Yarrowia lipolytica: one gene and its partners. The protein of the gene in region 1 purifies or fractionates together with the protein of each later gene. This does not show direct contact. Links are inferred from orthologs where the notes say so. Each region holds a gene or a part of one and is shown on either strand. Other genes may lie near its edges.

What was found. The genes of interacting proteins can lie anywhere in the genome.
Region 2: the proteins of YALI1_F27574g (region 1) and YALI1_B18613g purify together in Saccharomyces cerevisiae (affinity purification with mass spectrometry; 6 studies listed by BioGRID, with this or other methods). This does not show direct contact. The link is inferred for Yarrowia lipolytica from reciprocal best matches to the Saccharomyces cerevisiae genes BRR2 and LSM5.
Region 3: the proteins of YALI1_F27574g (region 1) and YALI1_E05664g purify together in Saccharomyces cerevisiae (affinity purification with mass spectrometry; 3 studies listed by BioGRID). This does not show direct contact. The link is inferred for Yarrowia lipolytica from reciprocal best matches to the Saccharomyces cerevisiae genes BRR2 and PRP46.

What each region holds. Positions count from the first base shown.
Region 1 is NC_090775.1:2,755,435-2,763,625, reverse strand, and holds the start of YALI1_F27574g (uncharacterized protein), read right to left. Parts: upstream 6,130-8,191; coding exon 6,095-6,129; intron 6,017-6,094; coding exon 1-6,016. Other genes in the region: YALI1_F27556g (uncharacterized protein), read right to left, coding at 6,502-7,596, 7,922-8,011.
Region 2 is NC_090771.1:1,859,527-1,862,226, forward strand, and holds YALI1_B18613g (uncharacterized protein), read left to right. Parts: upstream 1-1,784; coding exon 1,785-2,051; downstream 2,052-2,700. Other genes in the region: YALI1_B18607g (uncharacterized protein), read right to left, coding at 575-1,198; YALI1_B18631g (uncharacterized protein), read right to left, coding at 2,556-2,700. UniProt on the Saccharomyces cerevisiae protein: Component of LSm protein complexes, which are involved in RNA processing and may function in a chaperone-like manner. Component of the cytoplasmic LSM1-LSM7 complex which is involved in mRNA degradation by activating the decapping step.
Region 3 is NC_090774.1:564,438-568,385, reverse strand, and holds YALI1_E05664g (uncharacterized protein), read left to right. Parts: upstream 1-1,973; coding exon 1,974-3,299; downstream 3,300-3,948. Other genes in the region: YALI1_E05681g (uncharacterized protein), read right to left, coding at 1-236; YALI1_E05668g (uncharacterized protein), read right to left, coding at 646-1,542; YALI1_E05645g (uncharacterized protein), read left to right, coding at 3,838-3,948. UniProt on the Saccharomyces cerevisiae protein: Involved in pre-mRNA splicing. May also be required for cell cycle progression at G2/M.

The DNA.
Region 1 (8,191 bases):
CACCTCCAGATTAGCACGCTCATCCTCCTCGTACACATCTCTCTCCACAGTGACCTCGATGGTTCCGACATCGTTAGTAGCGTAAGAGTCAGCAAGCTCATAGCTGAGCTGAATACTTGGGTAGGCGTCCACAAAGTCAATGACACGCTTGAGTTGCTTCGCAGTAAAGTTGAGAATGCCCTTGAGCTTGTCCTCGTCCAGCTCGGAAATGTCTCCGACTGCCTCAACCCCCGCCCCCCTGAGATCGTCGATGATTTCGGGAGTGAAAAAAGGCACCTGTCGCAGAGGCGAATCAGACTCAAGAGTAGCTTGAACAACCATTTGGGACAGGTCCATTGCGTACATGCATGATTGATGGCCCTCAGAAGCCAGAAGATCAACAGAGGCAGCCAGCAGGGTAGGCAGCAGCTGGACAACCTCGGCCTGATCAGCAGTCAACTCCGAAGGGAGATTCAGCCGAGCAATATGACATTGAGCCAGCACAAAGGCCTTGAAAGCAGGAGTGAGAAGAACAGCAGAGTCCAGCTCGGGAAGCTTCCAGGGGATGTGGCCATAAAGACGTCTCAACAGAATGTCCTCGTGGTTTCGGATGGGAAGAGAGTCAAACTCAGCTGCAGTGGTGACAGCCTGCAAGATAGATCTATACTTACTCTTGGGAGAGAGGGCAGATGTGAGAGTAGCCATAGTATCGAAAGACACGTTGTAGTAGGATGCAATGGATGCAGCATTGAGAGGCTCCAATCCACCCTCGTCGTCCATCTCGACCATCTTTGCCTCAACAAGCTGTTCTACAGTAGTCTCAGCGAGCTCAGAAAGATAGACGTTGAGAGCATCATCTGATCGGTCAGGGACACCGTAGAAACCAGGATTGGCATGCAGGCGTCGGTACAGGTACGTGTAGGTTAACCAGGCCACAGTGTCATCCATGGACTCTATCACTTTCTCACAGATCTCTGCCAAAAGAGCATCATGTAGGGATGCTCCCAAGTTGGATTCCACAGGAAGAGAATCGTTGAGGAACCGCAGGTAGTAGTCCTTGGCAGCAGCGGGAGTCAGCACCAGGGCGTCGTTGGAAGCCTGTCCAATCATCTGCAAGACCGTAGAGATGGGGTAGTTGACGTATCGGTGCTCAGATCCCTCGTAGGTCTGGGTACCAAGAATGACACTCAGTTGAGAACGAGGCGAGGTCCAACATTCCTCACGGGTAGCAATGATTGTGGAGATGGACTGCTCAGCATACAGTGCCAACACAATCTTACGGTCTCTGGAAGACATGCTGGGGTAGAGGTGGCCAATACCGCTCTGAATGGCCTCCTTGAGAGTGTTGTCAGTCACCTGTGCCATAGCAAGCTCCAAATTGGAGTCCTCAGGAACAGGAGGCACCAGAACTTGCTCGTCCGCAATCGTGGAAAGACCAATGGTCACATCCACAAGAGTTCGACGAGAGTCCACAAAGATCACAGTCTGGGAGTGCTTGGGGGGAGCAAGCTCAAGAATGGCATTGTATGTAGGTCGAAGGAAAGCCTGCATGAGAGAAGGGTGATGAGGGATGGACAACGACTGAATGTGGATATTGGTAGGAGAAGCAGTCCAAGGTTTGAAGTTGTAGGGAGTGGCGTCAAGCCATCCAGCCATATCTACTCCATCGGCAACAGGAACACCCAGTCCGACAATTCTAAGAGGTCGTCCAGCACCACTCTCCTGCAACTGTACATCGATATATCTCATTCGAGAAACGACAGTCTCGTAGGTACCATCGCCGCCAACCAGATGCACGTCGTCGGCAATGAACAGGCTTACAGCTCTGACAGCAGCTCGCTTCTGCCACCGTCGAGACAAAGAATCCCACTGGTTAGGAGTGGCCAAAACCACATCGGAGGTGGCCAGCTTCCGTAAGTCAGCAGCAAGCTCACCAGACAGCTTTGAGAAGGTCTTTCCTCCATGAATCTCGTTCATTCGCTGACTCCAATCATCGTAGCGAGCATCAACTTGGGCTTGTGTGGGAGCCATGTACACAGTCTTGGCATCAGCATCTTCATTCCACAGTCTCAGTAGAGCCAGCTCGGCGAGAACAGTCTTACCAGACCCAGGAGGAGCTCCAACAAAGACGGAGCCGTCGCCCTCCACAAGAGGTCTGAACAGCTGCGATTGGATCTTGTTGAAGAAAGAAAAGTCGTAGAGCCCGGCGCAATCGGCTCGCTTTAGCTCAACAACAGGGACAGGCTGCAGATCAATAAGCTGAGTAGGGGCTGGGAACTTTCCTGGGAAGACAATGTTTCGCAAAGGCACAGCCAGACGAGCGTCGGCGTGCAACCATCTCTCGGAAGACAGAGTCACAAATAGATGAGGAGGTCGGGGGTCAGCAACAGTGACAGACACCTCAATTAAGTGAGTCTCAGTGGCGTAATCTCGCCGTAGGGTCCACGAGTCCGAGTAAAGAATCTTCTCACCGTCTCCGTCTTCCACAGTCAGAGCAAAGGGCTCGGAACCATGGTGAATAGAAACGTCCCACTCAAAACTGGGCTCCACCTCAATCTCCAGTCGCACGAGAGAGGCAGTAACGGGCAGTGCGCGAGCAGACAGCTTGAGCTGGGGGAACTTCTGAAGCATTCGGAACACAGGAGTGCCATATCGAGGAGTTCGGATAGCTTCTCCAACCTGTTCTGCATTCTCCAGCGATAAGTACCGCTTCCAAGGCATAGCAGAAGCCTCAATTTTCTTGGCAACCTCAGCAGGGCAGTCAGGAAACTGACGGAGAGGACAAGAGGATAGCCACAGACGCTGCTCAACCATCTTGCACACGTCAAGGGTAATTCGGGCTAGTCGAGCCCATTTCTTTCTCAGACAGAACTCATAGATGGCTCGGAACAGACGCTGGGCACTTTGGGTCACGTATATCATATCGGATACCAGTGCAAAGCCCTCGAGACTCAGTCGGGAAATGAAAGCCTGAAGAAGAACGTTGATCTTGGCAGTGGAGTCCTCAACGGACTCTCGAACAGGGATGGGTGCCGATTCCAGCAACTTTCCCAACTCTAGCTTCTCTTCTTGGCGAACTCCCACATATTTGAACTCCTCAGAGGCGGAGAACACCTGGAACAGCTCCACAATGGAGAAATGGGGCTTGAGAGAAATTCGGTATGTTCGCATAGACGAGTGAGTGATGTAGTAATGTGCAGCCACTCTACCGAGATCGTTGGCACGCACACGGCCAGTCTTGGTGTCGTAGATGACGAGACCAGACTTGGCCAGGTTGCTGAGAGCCGAATGAACGAGGTCGGCACGTCGGTTAGTAAGAGCGGCATCATCGGGATTAGATCCAACAAGGTATATACCAGGAGAAACAAGCATTCGGACGTAGAGGTAAGTATAACCTAGCCACTGAATACCATCACCCACCGAAGAAACTGTGCCACCGACAACCTCTGCGTTAAGAGAATCCTCCAGCCGTGACATAAGCTGAGACTCAATAGGGAGTTGTTGGTTCATCAGCGACAGATAGTAGTTGAGTTCCCCGTGGGTAGTAATGATGATACCTTCACCAGAGTCGTCGTATCGAGGTCGACCAGCACGACCAAGCATCTGGAGAACGTCCTGAGGAGACAGCTCGGTCCATTGACCCTTGGCAGGATTGTAAATTTGAGTACCCTTGATGATGACGGTATGTGCGGGAAGATTGACACCCCAAGCCAGAGTGGCAGTAGACACCAAAACACGGACATGTCCCTCAGCAAAGAGCTCCTCCGCAGCCTTACGGTCAACCTGTGCAAGACCAGCATGATGGGTAGCGAGACCAGTTCCGATGATCTCTTTCTGTGTGGCATCGAGTTCAGGATCTTGGGCACGCTCTGCAAGAGTTCGACGACTGCCATCAGAGGCACAAAAAAGAGGCAGCAGGCCCTCGTCCATGGCACGATCTCGCAGCATTCGAGCTGTCTTGGCGGTCTCCTTTCGGGAGTGCACAAAGACAATCACCTGGTGTCCAGCCTTGATGTTTTCAATCACTTTGTCGAAGCATGCGTCGTTCATGGCTGTGTATCGCTTGAAAGCTTTCTTCTCGGTGATACCAAGGAACCGCTGTCCCAGAGGACAAGGTCTAAAAGTGGAATCAAAGTAGAAAAGACCTGTCTCACCAACTCGAAGAAACGATGCGACATCCTTGAAGTTGGGAAGCGTGGCAGAGAGACCAACGATTCGAACAGGGTCTCCAGTCTGCTCTGACCGACGTGTTGTTCGCGCAACAATGCTTTCAAGGACAGGTCCTCGCTCATCATGCAGCAAATGAATCTCATCAATAACAATCAGTCTGACGAGGTTGGTGTAGCTGGAATCGGCAGCCTTTCGGGTGATGACATCCCATTTTTCCGGCGTGGTCACCAGCAGCTGAGTCTCTGCAATCTGCTGCTTAGTCAGATTATGATCACCAGTCAACTCGGACACTTTCAATCCCATGGAGTTGAGTCGCTTGCTGAACTCTCGGACCTGCTCCTGGACCAGAGCCTTGAGCGGGGCAATGTACACCATCTTGAAGTCATTGGTTCTAAAGCCTCCATTGGGAGCTCTGAAATGAGACAGGCACCGCAGCATGGCCAGGAATGCAACATTGGTCTTACCAGCACCGGTGGGTGCACAAATAAGCATGTTGTCGTCAGATTCGAATGCACAGGGGAACACCTTGCTCTGAATTCGATTGAGAGACTTGGTATCAGAAAAGCCAACATGTGTCCAAGAAGGCATATCAGCGATTGATACCACCTTCTCATTAGCATCAGGGATAGCTCTTTCAGGAGCAGGAATGACAAACTCTTCGTACTGACTGGTGCTGTGTTTTGTAGTGTTTGCTGGGAGCTTGACCTTCGAAGATGTCAGGAGTCTAGCACCCTGATCAAACACAAGTGACTGTGTATCAATGTATCTGGGAACGTAAGTCTGAGAAGCATCTTCTGTGACGTCCATATCCACATCTTCCGAAGTCTCCGTTTCACCGTGTAGCTCAGAGACGAGAGATGCCAGTCCCAAAGACGTCATCTGCTTCTTCACAGTGTCCTTCTCAGGTCCATCGGCTCGCTGAAGTCGTGTAATCCAAACAACGCGGTCTCTGTTATGACACAGCTTGGCGACAAAGTCGAGATGGTCGAAATCAAAGGCCTCAGACAGTTCGTTCTCAGTCTCACGCAGAGAAGACTCCCCGGCAAGAATATCAAACACCCGACGAGATAGATCAATACTCTCCTGTTGATCACCACCGACTAGGGATGCAATTTCACGTTGTAGCCAGAACGAGTCGATTTCTGTAGCAGGGATTACGTCTGAATCGGACTCCTTGGCAGCCTCCACAACAGTCTGCTCCACGTCCATATCTTCCTCATCCTCGCCCTCCCTCTGAGCAACAGGCACACGTCGAACGTAATCGCCGTCCATATCACTCAAATCCTCATCATCTTCGGAAAGGTCCATGGCGTCCTCGTCGTCGCTTCCGTCGAAAACCACAGCCACTCCGCTCTCTCCATCGTCAGCCATCTCCTCGTCCTGATTCTCAGCATAGTCAGTAAGACGAGCAGCCAAACTCATGGCCTGGTTGAAGTCCGTGTTGGATAGTTTTCCAACAATGCTCTCTATCTCCTTTTGCCGCTGCTTGTCCTGCAGCTTCTCGTCTCGTAGAGTAGCGATCAACTCGTCCGTAACAGCACAGATAGTCTCGTGTGATACATCCCCAAGAACACGCCCCGTCCATGCCATGAGCAGCTCAAACGCTTCACGAGTTTGAGGCATTTGTGGAGTGTACAAACCGCTGGAAGAGTAGACCGAAGTAGGCTTGGAAGTCATTCGTTCCTTGCGTGCCATCTTTTCCTGCTGTTGACGAACCCCAGCATCCGGAACCTCCCGTCGCACACCAGATCCCATATCCTTAACGTTGATCTTTCCCACTAAAGACTCGGGAATAGCCTTGTCTTCGCCACTCTCTCTGTTGATGTGCCTTCTATCGGCCTGCACCACAATAGAGGACATCTCCTCGCTGTAGTTAGTAAGTGATCCAGAATGGCGTTTGTCACACAAAGCCGAGTCATATCACACCATCCCCTCTAATACTCACTATTTGTAACGAGACATGTCATTGTTGTTCGACATGATGTGCTTGGTGTCGTGGGTGTTGCGTGAAGGATTTATTTCAGCGTAGATGTGCTTATTTTCTGAACCATATGCATAACAAGATGTTAAAATTGGGTGGTGAGCCCACAGTGCAGCAGGGTCAATTTACAAGTAGAATATACTGCAGATTCTACGACAGATGCTTGTACTAGCCCGAGTGCGTGCCTTCAAAAGGGCAAAAAATGATAAAATAAATGGGATAAATTCTTTCTCACTTACTATTCACCATGTTTCTCTCGCAACATTTTCCACAATCACTTCAAGCTCACCCAATCTATGTACTGTACTCCTGCTTTCTACTCATTCTCAGAAAACGACGGCTCGTACATTAGTAATTACATTCTACTCTACTTAGTTCTTAAAGTAGTAGTCCTCGGAAGGGATTCGGCCTCGGATCACAGGAGGCTCGGTGCCGGGAACGTAGATATCCTCAAACAGAACCTTGGCAGTAGCCTCGGGAGCAGGGTCGGACTCAGCAAGGGCAACCTCCTTGTCAACCATAGCTCGAGCAGCCTTGTCCACAGACTTAAGCTCGTCCTCAGTGGCGAAGTTAAGCTCCAGGATGTGGGCCTTGAGACCAGAAATAGGATCGTTGTGGGATCGCATGTACTGGATCTCCTCTCGGGTTCGGTAGGTGGTTCCGGGATCGGACATGGAGTGACCACCGTATCGGTAGGTCTCGAACTCCATGACGAGGGGACCCTTGCCGTGTGTGGTCCACTCCTTGGCGAACTTGGCTCCCTGGTAGACGGACAGAATGTCCATTCCGTTAACCTTGAGACCGGGAATGTACTGACCTCGCTTGTAGTACTGCGTCAGGGCAGAGGATCGAGCAGCAGCGGTACCCATTCCGTACTTGTTGTTCTCGCATGCAAAGATGCAGGGGAGGTCCCAGAGCTTGGCCATGTTGTAGGCCTCGAAGATCTGACCCTGGTTGGAAGCACCGTCACCGTACAGGGCAAAGGTGGCCTTTCCGGTCTGCTCGAGGTACTTGTGGGCGAAGGCGAGACCAGCTCCGACGGGGACCTGGGCTCCGACAATACCGTTTCCTCCGTAGAAACCCTCGGTGAACATGTGCATGGATCCACCCTTACCGTAGGAGACACCGGTTCGCTTTCCGAGCAGCTCGGCGATGATTGCTCGGACAGAGGCACCTCGCATGTAGGCGAAACCGTGGCATCGGTAGGCGGTGATGACAGAATCGTCGTGGTCGATGGCCTTCTCGATACCGACGGCAACAGCCTCCTGACCAGTAGACAGATGGCAGAAACCTCGGATCTTCTTGGCCTTGTAGAGGGCATCAGCAGCCATCTCGAGTCGTCGGACGGTCACCATGTCCTTGTACATTTGCAGAAGCTCACCCTTGGTCATCTCGAACTCGAGAGGAGGGGGAGAATCAAGCATGTAGGTGGTGTAAGAATCCTCCTTGAGCGTGATTGTGCATTTCTGGGGTTAGTATACGGTCGATTGAAGCTGTTTTGCCACGTTTTGTGATGGATTGCTGGTGGGTGAGGAATAATTTTTCCGGGTGCATGCGTTCCTAGAGGTTCGATTTTCTCTAGGCCCGTTTCTCATTAACAATCTCAGCAGCGTCAACGAGACGCCACCGCCAGGGGTAATGGCATCCGTAGAATCATTTCCGAGGGGTCCCGCGTCGATGGCATGTCTGTGTCGTCCGTTTCGTCGTGTTTCGTGAGGCGTATGTTTCGGAAAAACTCCCTGTAACCCAAATCCACGACACCCCAACGCAATGGGCGAAAAAAATACTCACCTTGTCGGCATCGTCAGCGATGGAGTATGCTCGGACCTGGTGGCCGAGTCGGCTGGTGAGCCGTGTAGATCGTCGAGCGGCAGTGAGCATGGTCAATTGTCTTGTTTTCACACGGACTGGATTGAGAAAAGCGCCACTTGGATGAAGTTGCAGGTTCTATCTGTGTGTTGTCAAGTGAGGAGAGTCAATTTTAGGTCTGCTATGGGCACCACCACAACCCACTAATCGCTCACACCGGAGAAATGTCCCACCAACCTTATTTTTCTGCGC
Region 2 (2,700 bases), on another chromosome or scaffold:
TCGATTTATGGGTTGCCTAAACGAAGCTAATACCCGTAACACACTACAAGGAACTAACACAAGATTGTTATAATTATATATATACTCCAGTAGAAAGCCACGATATGATAAGATAGCGCAGAAGCCACTGGATGTTAAAGGTGCTGCCGTATACATGATTCTCTGCCTCGCTTAAGCGGTCAGTCCAGTATTACGTATGTGCAGCACTTCCGCGCTGTAGGGTAATTAACACACGACCATCGTCACCTCGCTCATAATAATGGTTTGTCCACAAGAGCAATATATCGCCTATACACCCAACGAGAAAACGGTTCAACACGCACACTAATTGTATTAACGCGCCCCAGACCTGTCAGTGTTCCCTAGACACCACACAAAACCAAACCGCCGACGAAAACTACCGCTCTTATCATGAATATCATAACTTATAATATGTAAGGTCAGAATGAGTTGTTGTGTGCCATACATTTCTCTGACCGAATTAATGGATGCCAGACTCACGTCGTCCTTCCACGGGTAAAAACGTCATGCCAAAACCATGCCCTTCATTTCAGTTCCTCCTTGGTCAATCTCCTTAGTTGTACGACAGATCAAAGTACAGATCATTCCACACAACACCGGGAGGGTATTTGCAATCGCTCTTGCCCTGATTGGTGAACCCCAGCTTCTCGTAGAAGGGTGCGTTCTCGTCTGTGGCAATGAGCGCGATTCGGCTGGCCACGCCGTTGGTGGAGATTCGCTGCACATAGTCATTCATCAGGATCGATCCGATGGACTTGCCCTGGTACTCGGGGTCCACACAAACAGCATGGACGCCCACGGTGTTTCCGTCCTCCTTGTGTCCGTTCTCCTCGTCGTCAGGGCCCTCCGGGATGCCCATGGAGCCCTTGGTGATCAGGTCTGACCGCATCTTTGTGGCCAGAATCACCGCCACCAGCTTCTCGCTAATCACAGAGGTTGTAGGATGAGGCAGCTGGTCGTCCTCACCGTCGCTGTTCTTGGCTTTGTCCTTGGCGTCGTAACTTCTGATAAATAGACCCAGACACAGCTCGGGGCATGCCTGGAGTCGATACAGCACCTTTTCTCTCGTCGCTGACTGGTCCGGAGGGAAGGCCTTATCTGAGACCTCGACAATGGCATCCACATCCTGTACTGCCAGAGGTCGGATGGCCGAGTGTGGGGGGAGCGTTTTAGTCATTTGATGCGTTTTGTGCGAACGGTGATTTGGATGGTGTTATGATGTATTGGAGTGTGGGCTTGCCAGCGAGAAGGAAAATCGAAACCCAAACAAGGTTGAGGAGATGCGGGATGGTGAAGTTGGTGTAGCGTGAGATGACAGTGCTCAGAAAGCGTCCCAGAGTATGCAAGGGTGTGATTTTTTGAGGGGAAACAGCTTAAGGGTTCATATATATACTCCCAGGCTTTTTTACTGTCACCAAAGCTAACGTGATTTCTGTGTTTAGTCACCTCTGCTGCTGGATGTACGTCAGAATAGAGAGTTAATAGGCACGAGAGCAAGAGGGTGGAAACACAACAGATTGATAAACACAATGGAGAGAGCTTGGCTTTTGACGTTAGAGTGTCTAGAGGGGTAAATATTACAGAAAAAATATATATCTGTGGGTATTTTGGTCTGTTATCCTGCCCAAACTCGAAGTCCACCTTTTATCGTTCCGTGTCGACTGTACCCCTCTGATCACGTGACCATAAGCCATGCACAACACTTTAATCAAAAACCACACCAGCATCAAACAACAGTCTCCGAACACACAACATCACACACAATGAGCGAGCAAGCTGAGCCCCAGGTATCGCAAATTCTGCCTCTGGAGCTGGTCGACAAGTGCATAGGATCCAAGATTCTGGTGCTGGTCAAGTCCAAGGTCGAGTTCACTGGCACTCTGGTCGGATTCGACGATTTCGTCAACATGGTGCTGGAGGACGTGACCGAGGTCAACACAAAAACTGGCAAGGAGACCAATCACAGCAAGCTGTTGTTGAGTGGAAAGAGCATCTACATGGTGAGTGAAGTTGGGGATATTTATGGCTGATCAGATAGGGAAGGAAGTCACGAGAAGATTAACTAACACAGCTTGTCCCTGGAGGACTTTAAGTGTATTATAGGATAATGATATTGGATGATTGGATTATGGTGGTTGCTACGATGTCGTGGTGGTGGTTTGATGGCGTGGTAAGCTTGATAGGCTGGATTGTAGTGGCGAAGCTGGACCGAGATCAGGTGTATAGTATGGGGGTTTGATTCGAGGAACTGAGTTGCTGTGGAACAATGCGCAGTGCCAGAGATGCAGGCTGCTTCCTTTCAACACTCTTGTAGCTTGCTTAGAATCTCACTCCACATAGCAGGTGAGATCAGATTAACTAGGCTCTGGTTTATGAACGAGATCATACAAGTAACTGATAGTTCGCAAAGAGATCAAGCTATCTTTACTAAGGAGTCGCAATCTTTTCATACATACAGAGAATAAAAATACATTGTAAAGTACCTACTGTTGATGTCTGATCTGTCGTCAATTTGGGTTCCTATCATTCTGTGTTCACTTCTTATCCAGAATTGCAGTATTGACATCACTGATCTTCCACAGAATTAGCATCATTACTGAACGGTAAGGAGCAAACCGATGGGCCACCCAGGTCATTTCATCTGCTGTGGGCACCCTCCATTTACCCTTTGTATCTGGC
Region 3 (3,948 bases), on another chromosome or scaffold:
CAGTTTGCAACCTGGGATACCCGTCGATGTAACATCGAGAAAGGCCTGAACCATTCGGCGCAATGGTGGGCATTTCGGTACCGGTAATAGAGCGAGTGGATGATCTCAGCCTCGCTCAGGAATTCGGACACCTGTAGGCCTAGTCCTGCGTTTTCCGTAGTTTTTTGAAGCTCAGCTTTGTATGCCTTTTTCGGGAACGGCGCCTCCCGGTGCTGGTCAGCATATACCGATAACATGACGTATGGTGTTGTGTCAGACTCCCAGACGACACCCAGAAATAATTATTCCTGTCCTGCATTTTCGAACTTTCATGGTGTGAGTGAGTGAAGCAGCTGGGGTGGACAATGTGGACAACACAACAAACGGTACAAGAGACAGGAGTATCGTAGAGTCAATATTCCTATATTGCAAAGGGACTCTTTTGTCAGGCTCCCAATTATTATTAATATTCTTTCATAGTTGTAGCTTTATGGTACGAATGCACTTCATAAAGTCTGGTGTTCCACGACCACAAATATTATAACCAACATCTGGACACGCTATCGCTACACTACGAGTACCAGTGGCGCTACTTGTACTTGCATCGAAATCATCAAAACCTATCATTCAGTGTGTCAAGTTTAGTTACAAAATATCTATATACAATTATCTTCCGACGTTGAGAAGAAGAGAGTTGCCAGAGGAAGCGCCATTGGATCCGTTGCCTCCCTTGGGCAGGTAAGTGACGTTGTTGGACTGGGCAAGAGTGGTGGCAATCTCCTTGGAGGCCTCGATTCGTCGAATCAAGAGCAGACCATCACCGGCCTTCTCAAGAGCCTTGGAAATGGCCTCGGCGGACTCGGCTTCTCCCTCAGCTCGGATAACGGCGGCTTGTCGCTCCTGCTCGGCCTTCTCGACGATGAATCGGGCTCGCTCGGCATCCTGCTGGGCAATTTGCTTCTGCTCAACGGCCTTGGTGAACTCCTTTCCGAAGGTCATGTGGGTAATGGAGACATCCTCGAGGGCAATGTTGAACTCACCGGCTCGCTTGACAAGATCCTCTCGAATTCGGGCGGAAACAACCTCTCGCTGGGTAATGAGCTCGGCGGCATCGAATTGAGCGACAATAGACTTGAGCACCTCGTTACCAATGGAGGGCAGGACTCGCTCGTCGTAGTCGAGACCAAGAGACTGGTAGATGTGGGGAAGCTGGGAAATGACGGGTCGGTGCAGAACTCGCAGGGTCAGAGAAACCATCTGCAGATCCTTGGATCCGGTGGTGGTGGCGATGTTTCGGGGCTTGGTTCGGACATCGAAGATAATGTCCTTCTGGAGCCAGGGAACGAGGAAGTGGGTTCCCTCTCCGATCACGTTCTGCTTGACACCGGCAAGACGGTCGAAGATGACAGCTCGGTAGCCACCACGAACGTCGTACATGGCGGACTGCATCAAGGTGATGCCAACACCGACAGGAATGGCGATGGCTGGGTTAGTATGGGGTCTCGAGATTGCGTGTTGCTGTGGATGTGCGGTGCGGCACCCCCACGCCAAGTTGGCAAACATGCCATTGTTTGGTGTCAGGATATTCGCAATGGCACATTGAACTTATGTATGGACTCATCTTCCCTTTCCAGCCTTTCAATACTCACTTGTAAGGACTCCCAATAATCTGTTGGACATGGTTGCGGTGGGGAGAAAGAGGAAATGGTGTAAAAGTTTATGTGGACGCCTCCCAGTTCAAGAGCACAACGATAATTAGGGGAGGGTTACAGTAACCGAAAACGAGGCTCAGGGGGAGTAATATCTGGAGTGTGAAAGAAGAATTGTTTCATTTTTGAAGCAGAGTTGAATCTGGCCAATCATATTTCGTTTATCCAGTTTCCAACTTGTTCCCCTGCTCACACCACTCATAACCTGTACAAGGCTATCTGAATAACTTGCATGAACATTTCAGCCGTCATAATCAGAGACTACAAGGAACTTGTAATCCACACATGCCTGTCGCCAAAGACCTGTTTCCAGAGTATGGTACTCTCGCGACCGGCGAAAATGAACCCTCTCGAAATATCCGACGTGCTCAAAAACTCAGGGAGTTCCAGAACCTCGAACTTCCACCATACCTAGCAAAGCAGGTGGCTGCCAAAATGGCAGAGAAGGGTTTGGCAGTGGAAGCCACAGGAGGTGTGGCAGTCCAGCGAATCGCAGGAGGATCTCAGAGCGGCCAGAAGGCTCTGATGGGAGCTTCTTCCTCGGCACTCACGAAACACACGCCCTCTGCAAGCCAACCAACTACACACGACAGTCTCACTAATCTCGGAGCCAACCTTACACAGTCGAAACCGGCGTGGCACGCACCATGGGAGATCTACAGAGTCATTACAGGCCATCAGGGCTGGGTGAGATCTGTTTGTGTTGAACCAGAGAACCAGTGGTTTGCTACAGGTTCTGCAGACAAGACTATCAAGATCTGGGATCTGGCTACAGGAAAATTGCGACTGACTCTCACAGGACACATTATGGGTGTTAGAGCATTGGGAGTGTCGCCACGACATCCTTACATGTTTTCGGGAGGTGAAGACAAGATGGTCAAGTGTTGGGATCTGGAAACTAACAAGGTCGTTCGACACTACCATGGCCATCTCTCTGCAGTCTACTCGCTGGACATTCATCCTACTCTGGATGTCCTAGTGTCTGCTGGTCGAGACGCTGTGGCCCGTGTGTGGGACATTCGTACTCGTGACCCTGTGGTTGTTCTCAGTGGACACAAGTCGACTATCAACAGAGTCAAGTTCCAGGCCTCTGAACCCCAGGTGATTACAGCTTCGGCAGATGAGACTGTGCGACTGTGGAACCTACAGGCCGGGAAGACCATGACAACGCTCACGCATCACAAGAAGAGTGTGCGAGGCCTCACTTTACATCCCGAGGAGTTCACTTTCTCCACGGCCTCTGCTAACTCCAGTAAGCAATGGAAGTGTCCCGAGGGCGATCTAGTGCTCAACTACGACGACCAGAACGCTATCATCAATACCCTGTCCGTTAACCAAGACAACGTCATGTTTTCGGGAGGCGACAACGGCTCTATTGGCTTTTATGACTGGAAGACTGGACATATGTTCCAGAGCACCCAGTCTATTCCCATCCCAGGATCTATCGAGAGTGAAAACGGTATTTTCGACTCCAGTTTCGACAAGACTGGTCTTCGCCTCATCACCTGTGAGGCTGACAAGAGCATCAAAATGTGGCGCGAGAAGCCCAATGCCACAGCAGAAAGTGATCCCGGTCTCGAATGGAAACCCAAGATATACCAGACCTATTAGAGGGATGGTGTATCAGAATTTCGCATATTTAATGTATTTTTAGTTACAAGTACAATTGTATTGGTTGGCGTTGTCATTCTTTTGTTTTGCTTTCCCTCCTTTTCAGCCTTCGCTCTACTTGTAGGCCAGTGGTACCAATACAGGCACAGTATATGGACCCAATTCCAGAACCATACTTATACAATTTTCATTTTTTTCCGGAAACATAAAAATGGATGGTCTCCAAATAAAAATGAAATAACAACTACATGTACATTGTACTTGTACAGTTGGATATATGTGTGTTTCACCAATATAATCGCAGATTTAATAACTGAATAATATCATATAACAAGACGATATTTCGTAAATTCCCCCCTACAGTAACTGGCACATTCCTGTCTCTATTAAGGTGGCTGTACTCATCTCCCAACATCACGTGACCATAACTATTTTCAGTTTATCAAAATTTTGTCGCCACCCGAACATCAACGAGCAATAGCGCGACGAAGCTATATAACACCCAGGCAGTTTACTGTCGCTCACAACACCTCCAAAGATGGCTCTCGCAGAAGCAGACTTGCCCAACGGCAAAACCAACGGCAAAGCCTCGGGGTCCGAGGAGACTCCTGCGCCCGTTCAGAAGGTCGACATGAACGTGGCAATCAAC